2 linked regions of the Cricetulus griseus genome follow. The protein of the gene in region 2 binds, or shares a complex with, the protein of the main gene of each other region. Links are inferred from orthologs where the notes say so. Each region holds a gene or a part of one and is shown on either strand. Other genes may lie near its edges. The genes, in order: Pnoc and Oprl1.

What was found.
Region 1: the proteins of Oprl1 (region 2) and Pnoc are in contact, whole or in part, in a cryo-EM structure (PDB 8F7X), measured with the Homo sapiens proteins. The link is inferred for Cricetulus griseus from reciprocal best matches to the Homo sapiens genes OPRL1 and PNOC. Residues at the interface, in NP_000904.1 of Homo sapiens: Gln107, Asp110, Gly114, Phe115, Trp116, Val126, Ile127, Asp130, Tyr131, Met134, Gln192, Glu194, Ile198, Glu199, Cys200, Leu201, Val202, Ile219, Val279, Gln280, Val283, Gln286, Gln291, Pro292, Ser293, Val298, Leu301, Arg302, Thr305, Tyr309; in NP_006219.1 of Homo sapiens: Phe130, Gly131, Gly132, Phe133, Thr134, Gly135, Ala136, Arg137, Lys138, Ser139, Ala140, Arg141, Lys142, Leu143.

The regions. Positions count from the first base shown.
Region 1 is NW_023276807.1:220,422,525-220,426,812, forward strand, and holds the start of Pnoc (prepronociceptin), read right to left. Parts: upstream 2,957-4,288; coding exon 2,831-2,956; intron 1-2,830.
Region 2 is NC_048599.1:187,870-190,967, forward strand, and holds the end of Oprl1 (nociceptin receptor), read right to left. Parts: coding exon 2,951-3,098; intron 2,874-2,950; coding exon 2,350-2,873; 3' UTR 694-2,349; downstream 1-693.

The sequences.
Region 1 (4,288 bases), on a different chromosome or scaffold from region 2:
GGTCCTGGGGGGCGGGGGGGGGGGGGAGACGGGACACAGCAGGCACTGCAACTCGTCTATCTCCAGCTGTGAGGTTTTTACCAATCCATTTTCTGACTTGTTTCTAGGAAGCAAAGTGAGTGTTCTCTGGCCTCCAAAGATTTGAGATGCTAATGGAAAGATAGAAGCAGGCTTCCAATCCTTCACCACCCCAGAAAGACCAAATGTAAGACTTTACAGTGACTGCTCAGGATGTGCCCAGCAAGGAGCCTCATGTTCTGAGAATCATACAATTTCCATGAGGCAGGCTGCGTGAGCCCTGTTATGGGCCACATACTGGGCCCCATGCTGGGATATCCAGATAGGTCAGCAAAGGAACTCATACCTGAGCCAGAGAGAGAAAAAGGAGAGAGGGGAGAGAGAGAGAGAGAGAGAGAGAGAGAGAGAGAGAGAGAGAGAGAGAGAGAGAGAGAGAGAGAGAAGAGAGGGGGAGAAGGAGAGTAAAAGAGAGAGAGAGAGATGGCACCAAGAGCCAGAATAAGCACAACCCATGAGCGTCACCCAGGAAGAATTTATTTCATTTCCTCATGAAGTTCAAGGCCAGATTGGTTAAAGGAACTGCGGGTGTGTGCATATTTGAAATAAAGGCCACTGTGGAGAGAACAAACCTGGTGGTGTTAATTTTCATCCTACATACATTGGCCATTCGTAACTCTGTGCAATCTACAGCAATGGCCTGGGATAGGTTGAGCATGTGGGGCTAAACATGGAATCTAACCCATGGGGACTCATTCTTATACCCCAGAGCACCAGGAACTCTCTGCTGCTCCTGTTACCCCAAGTACCACAGTGTCTAGTGGAGACCATCACTCTGACTGTGCCATCTCTCCAGCTCTTTCTAGCTGGTCCTGACCTTGGTCTTACCTTCCTGAACTTCTGTCTTTGTTTGGGTCTCCTAGAGGCCTCTATTTCCCTCTCCTGTGTGCTGCTTAGCGTTACCTCTGATTCTACTATGTATTTTCAGATCAAAACTCCACTTGAACCTCACCTTTGCCTTTGTGAGTGACCAGTGTGTTTGTTATGATGTGAAGCTTAACTTTGCTCTTGAAGTATAAGTGGGATTTAGTGGGTAGGGGGAGGGAGAGGCAGGAGCAAGGTGGCAGGACAGCAAAGAAAAGCAGGGTTCCCTGGGAGCTGTAAAGAGTGCCTTGGGCCTGGGCCTGAGCCCAAGATAGAGAAGGTCAGGGGTTTCTTTGACAGTTATCTGCAGCCTAGGAGAGAAAAGCCAGGGTATATGGTGGCATTTTGGAAGAGGGTCAAGAAACACACATCTCAGCATCCCTGTTAGGGATTGGGCAGAGGAACAGAGCCAATATAAAAGACTTGGAAAGAGCCTTTCTGTCTAGAGAGGGAAGGGACCCTTAAGACAGGCAAGAGATGCAAGAGATGTTTCTTGAAGGATGAGATATCCTCAGGCTGACATGCCTAGAAGAAAATAGGATGGACAAGCATCAGAAACATATCTCTTTGATGGGTGGTCTGGGCTGCCCTTCCTGATGGCATGACTGTGCCTTCCCACCCAGAAGACAGGTGTGTCCAGGCCGGGAGGAGTGTAATATTTATCTGTTGGGGCTGAGGCCACATTTCTACCTGGAGCTGAGAGATATCAAGGTGTGTTGGGCACCAGCTACGCTGGATTTCATGTCTGCACATTTGCCTTAAGGAAGAGCAATTACTTGCCTGTTTTGAAAGGTGGAGGGGTTTGAAGCACGGTGCCTTGAAATCAACTTTATTGACTTCAAAGGAAAAAAATAATTGAATTATACTGGATTTCATAGGAGAGAATAGCTATCTAAGCTGCAATTAAAGGAGTGAGAAAGCAGTTCATTTAATGAATAATAATTTAATGTTTTGTACTTCAAGTTGGGAATGTAAAACACAAGAGAGCATTTTGGATGCTCATTGTAGAATCATTTGCAATATAAAAAATGGATGACAATATACATGCTCAGCAGATGGGGAATGGAGAACAAGTTATATATTCACAGAAAGAAATCACTTGAAATAATGTGTCATAACATGAGAATATTAACCCTGTGACACCACAGAAAGTAAGATTCTCTCTGGTTCCTGGAGTATAATAGTTGACCTTCATTGTCAACATGAGGGGGTTAGGGTTGAGGAGACACTCTCAGAGCTGATGAGGGTGTTTCAAGAGAGAACCCCACCCTGAGTGTGGGGAGCACCAGCCCAAGAGCTGGAGTCCAAGACTGAATAAAGAAGACGTGATCTGAACAGTGTATCATCTCTCTGTGCTTATCAACTGTGGACACAATGTGAGCAGCTGCCTCAAGTTCTCACCTCCATGCTGCCTCCTCCTTGGTAGACTGTGCTCTCAAACTTCAGCCAAAACAAACCCTTCCTTAAGATTCAGGGATTTTTGTCACAGCAAAGAGTAAAGTCATTAGTTCATGGGTTGGAAGAAGAATATATATGGACACATATGTATACATATATTACATGTATTTTGGGTAACACTGGGACAAGGGCATCATGAACAGATATATGGTAGAGAGGGAGGACCACAGGGATCTGATGGTAAAGTAGGAGGACCACAGGGGTCTGGTGGTAGAGAAGGAGGACCACAGGGGTCTGGTGGTAAAGTAGGACGACCACAGGGGTCATAGTAGGAAGATGCAGCTTGGCTTCACCTGTTTCCTCTTGGTCACATGACACTGCACAAGTCCTATGACCTCTAGGAGAGACTTGAATGTTTCATTTAGTGTTTGCTTTGGAGTCAGGAGGAGGAGATGGCAAGAAAGAGGGTAGTCCCTTGGCCTTCTGGACATACCTTCAAGTTGAAGCTGTCTGGGTCTTGGCGGAGCTTCTCCTGGCAGGTGAGACAGTCCCTGGGACAGCTGCTGAACACACTGGAGAGCAGGCTGAGCAGCAGAACATCACTAAGCAGGATTTTCATGGTGCAGAGTGGGGAGCAACCAGCTGAAACACATAGAGGACACGTGCCAATTAGTATAGTCTGGGGAGAGGGTTCGTCAGTTCTGGGCATCACGACCCAGGGAGGCAAGCATCATTCCTCAGCAAGGCGATTCCTCAAGTCTTAGATTCACCTGGGAAGGAATAGACTGTAGACAGTACTGGTGGCCTGGTCCTGCCATCCAGGACTGCTTTCATTCATAGGCTGTGTGTAGTGCAGATCCCTGGAGAGCACTTGTGATTCCTGCCACTTAGCTGGACTCTGCCGTTCCAGAAAGAGCTGTGGGATGGGAAACATCTTTCCTGGAGGCCAGAGGCATTGCTTCCTGACCAATGAGTGCCTTTAAGTCAACCTCTTCAAACCTCAGTTTCCATAGCCATAAAAGAGAAAGCATGGCAGGCGCCTTACCATAGGCCTGTTAGGAAGATGAGATGTGACCTGTCAGGGCCAAGGTTTCTAAGGAACAGATGAGGAGCTGAGTGTGGTGGCATAGTTTCTCATCCCATTTCTCAGGAGGCAGGCAGGGGGATGAGTGACTGAAATGCCTCCTGGCTTCTTTTCTGGCCAGACTATGAATGCTGTCCCTCAATTCTCTCTCCCAGGGAGCTTCCATGTGTCCCCTGTCTGTCACCCACATCAGAACTGAGCTCCTGCTATGGTTTGAGTGATTGTGTCTTCTCAGAGTCCATATGTTGAAATCTATGAAGGTAAATCTTGGTAGACGGCTTGAACAGACTAAAAACAAGTAGGTGGAGGTAGGGGAAATGGCTCGGTGGGTAAAGTGCTTGCTATGCAAGTGAGGACTGGTGATCAGATCCTACTCAGCAAATGCTGAGTGGTGTTGGGGGACCACCTGCAATACCAGTGCAGTGGGAGATAGGCAGTCCCCAGAACAAGGTGGACAAGTAAGTGGTTGAATCAGTGGACTCCAGGTCTAAGTGAGAGAACATGCTTCTTCATATGTAGTGTAGTTAATAATTAAGGAACATATCTGAAGTCAACCTTGGGTCTCCATACACACAATCAGCACACCCCCACACAGTATGCAAGCACACCCACACCCACACCCACACCCACACCCACCCACCCCCCCCCACACACACACACCCCATACCATGTAGACTATTAGTAAATTACTCCTCTGGTTCATGTGTGATGACATCTCTAGAAACATTGAGATCATGAGGCTGCTGACATAACAAATAGGTTAAACCCTTGGTAAATGCATGAGGTGATAACATTATTGGAGCTAGTGAAGAGTAGGTGGGGTCTACTTGGAAGAAGTAGGCCCATGCCCCCTGGTTTATACTGAAG
Region 2 (3,098 bases):
TCTCTCTCTCACACGCACGCACGCACGCACGCACGCACACACACACACACACACACTCACATTTTAAAGTCCTATCCTCTGCTGTGATGGTGTTAAGAGATGATTCTGCTGCAGGTCATGAGGTTGGAGCCCTACCACCTCATTATTACTGTTAATGGGATGTGTGCAACTCTGAAATATCTTTCTATAAAGTAAGGATACAGTCAGAACACAATCTCATAAAGTCCAACCCACCACACCTTCATGGAATGCAGCTTTCAACCCTGTGAGAAATTCATGTCTAGTGCTTATAAACTGCTAGACTAAAAAAGACCAAGCTGACAGTGTCTGTCATTAAAACTTGTATAAAACCAACATTGACCCACCAGCCCTATACTGGAAGCAAGGACTTTGGCACATACGATCCTGGTCAAATTGAGGCAAAGAAAAACCTGTAGGCCAGGAAGAAAGACATCTGCCCTGAGGGTGGGAAAAGGGTGGTCATTGTTTTGGGAGAAGGAAAGGCAGCAGCTTCTGCAACCTAGGATCTAGTTTCCCTCCCATAAGTCAAGAGGCTCCTTAAAGGCTCCTTGTCCTCTGCCAAGTGGACAACAGGTTAAAGAACCCATCAACTCAGTTCTACGGCCCCTCCCAATGCATGTGAACTCCCAGAAAGTTACTCCTATGTAGCTAGAGTCAGCAATACTTATTCTATGGAGAGCAACGGTCACAAGGTGTTTATTATGGCACTCCTTCATTACTCCAGAGGCAGGCTCAGGCCTGGCTACATGCATGGAAATGACACTTGTGTGCTTAAATACATGAAGATGTACAAATTCACAAACTTTTTAACCTTGGCAAGAAAACACTATAGTTAATTGTTCCCACCCAAATGTCACAGAAAGAGCCCTGGTCTCCCCATTAAGATTATTAAGGCCAGGTCTCTCTGAGACAGTAACTAGCCCAGGCTCTGTATTGTATGAAGCCACCTAACCAAGGTCTCAGTGGAAGACAAAGGTTGCTAGTATTTTGGTAGCTGATCCACAGAAAGAGCATCTACAAAGCCTCTTATTTTCTGAACCATCAAATAGATCTCCAAGGTACAGATTCTTCTTCCAGTGTCCCCAAAACCTGATGGTCCTTGCAGATTGGCTCAAATGAGCCATTTTAGGCTTCAGCTCTTATAGCAACTCTTCATTTGATGCCATCTTCCAATTTGACAGCAAGCTCAGGCCTTACTTAAATATGCCCTAAAGCCTGTAAAAGAAGCAGGTAGTCGATGTAGGTACAGAACAGAACACATCCTGCCGCTACCCTTCCCAGGCTATAAGTATGCTTCTAGCAGTACAGCTACTGACCTCCCATGTCAAGTCAAAGAGACTGCCAGAAAGCTGAGGGAGGCTGTGGGGAATGAGAACAGAGCATATTCTCCTGCTCCACCCTTACTAAGCAGCCAAGACCAGTACATGTCGCCTCCATGTTGTGAGTAGTCTACAGAGGTCACACAGCAGCGTTCTCCTGATTACCTCCCACACACCTAGGAGCAGGGCTTGCCAAGAAGTCTGTGATATAAGAGTTCACAGTGGTTTTGGAGGGGAAAGAGCCACAAAGAAGTTCTGGATATTGTTCCATTGGCCTCTTGCTGAGAAGGTGGCCCATGTTGGAGCCACAGTCAGATAGAACAGGCAGTGGCAGTGCCAAGTGAAGTCCCCTTCACAGACATCATGTACAGCATGAAGAGAATCTTTGGAAAACAACCATCCTAGAACCCACTGATGTCCACCCACCTCAGGTAATCTGGCAGCATTAGTGGAGTCAGAACCAGAAAATGTTCCAAGCCAAGCTTAGGGCCAGTCTCAATTTAAAAAAAAAAAAAAATGCTGCCTACAGCACCAGGCAACACCAAGTATTTTCAGCAGTCCTATGGAAATACTGAAAGGCTGAGGGCAACAGCATACAACATGTGACTAGATGATCACTGCAATACCTCAGGTTGAGCCCACCTAGAGCCAGGGCAGCAGGGAGAGGCCAGAGAAGAGTTGAGTGAAGTATGTATACCTATGTGGGCTCACCAGGCATGTCCACTGTGTTATGGATGTTTCCATGCAGTGTCCTTTGATCCTCTCTGGTCTTACACCAGAGTGGGGAGCCTAATCTGACATAGGCCGTAGAGGCCACTTTGATGCTTTGACCTGTCCCATGGTGTTATAAGGTCTCCCTCTAGGATTAAGCATCCTGAGACAAAAGAAAGGCCATTCAAAGACCCAGATGCTCAAGGTCAACCTAGAGAGCAGTGACCTGTGTGAGTTCTGTGTTGGGTGTAGATGGACTCTGTGGGCTGACAGGCACCATGGGCAGGTCCACGCCTAGTCATGCCGGCCGTGGTACTGTCTCAGAGGTCTTGCAAGCAAGGCCCACATCCTTGGCAATGCTGCGCACTCGGTCAGAAACCTGCATCTCCCGGTGCAAGGCTGAAGCACAGCAGAACTTTCTAAAGCAGGCCTTAAAGTTCTCATCCAGGAAAGCATAGAGAATGGGGTTGAGACAGCTGTTGACATAGCCCAGGGCTGTGCAAAAGCGCAGGGTGGCTACTGCGGTCTCACTACCTGGCTGAACACCCAGTCCTTGGACCAGCACAAAGACTTGCACAGGTGTCCAGCAGACCACAAACACAGCCACCACCACCAGCACCAGCCGTGTGATACGCCGCAGGTTCCGGTCCTTCTCTCGGGAGCCTGAAAGCAGACGGACACCACGGAGCCGTCGAATCATGAGGCTGTAGCAGACAGAGATGATCAGCACAGGAATGATGAAGGAAAAAAGGAAGATGCAGATGGCAAACACAGGGCCCCAATAGTCCTGAGGGGCAGGGATCTCCACCAGGCATTCGATCTCTGCAGGAGAGAAACGGGGTTAGAAGGGCCACCAAGAACCATGGGGAACTGGTCGGAGAGGAGGACCACCCACTGACCTTCATCCTCCACTTGTGCGGAGCCCATGATGGCAACAGGAACACCAACCACTGAAGCCAGAGCCCATATGGCCACATTAATAGCCTGGGCTTTGCTGGATGTCCGAACATCAAGGGCACGGATAGGGTGGCAGATGGCCACATAGCG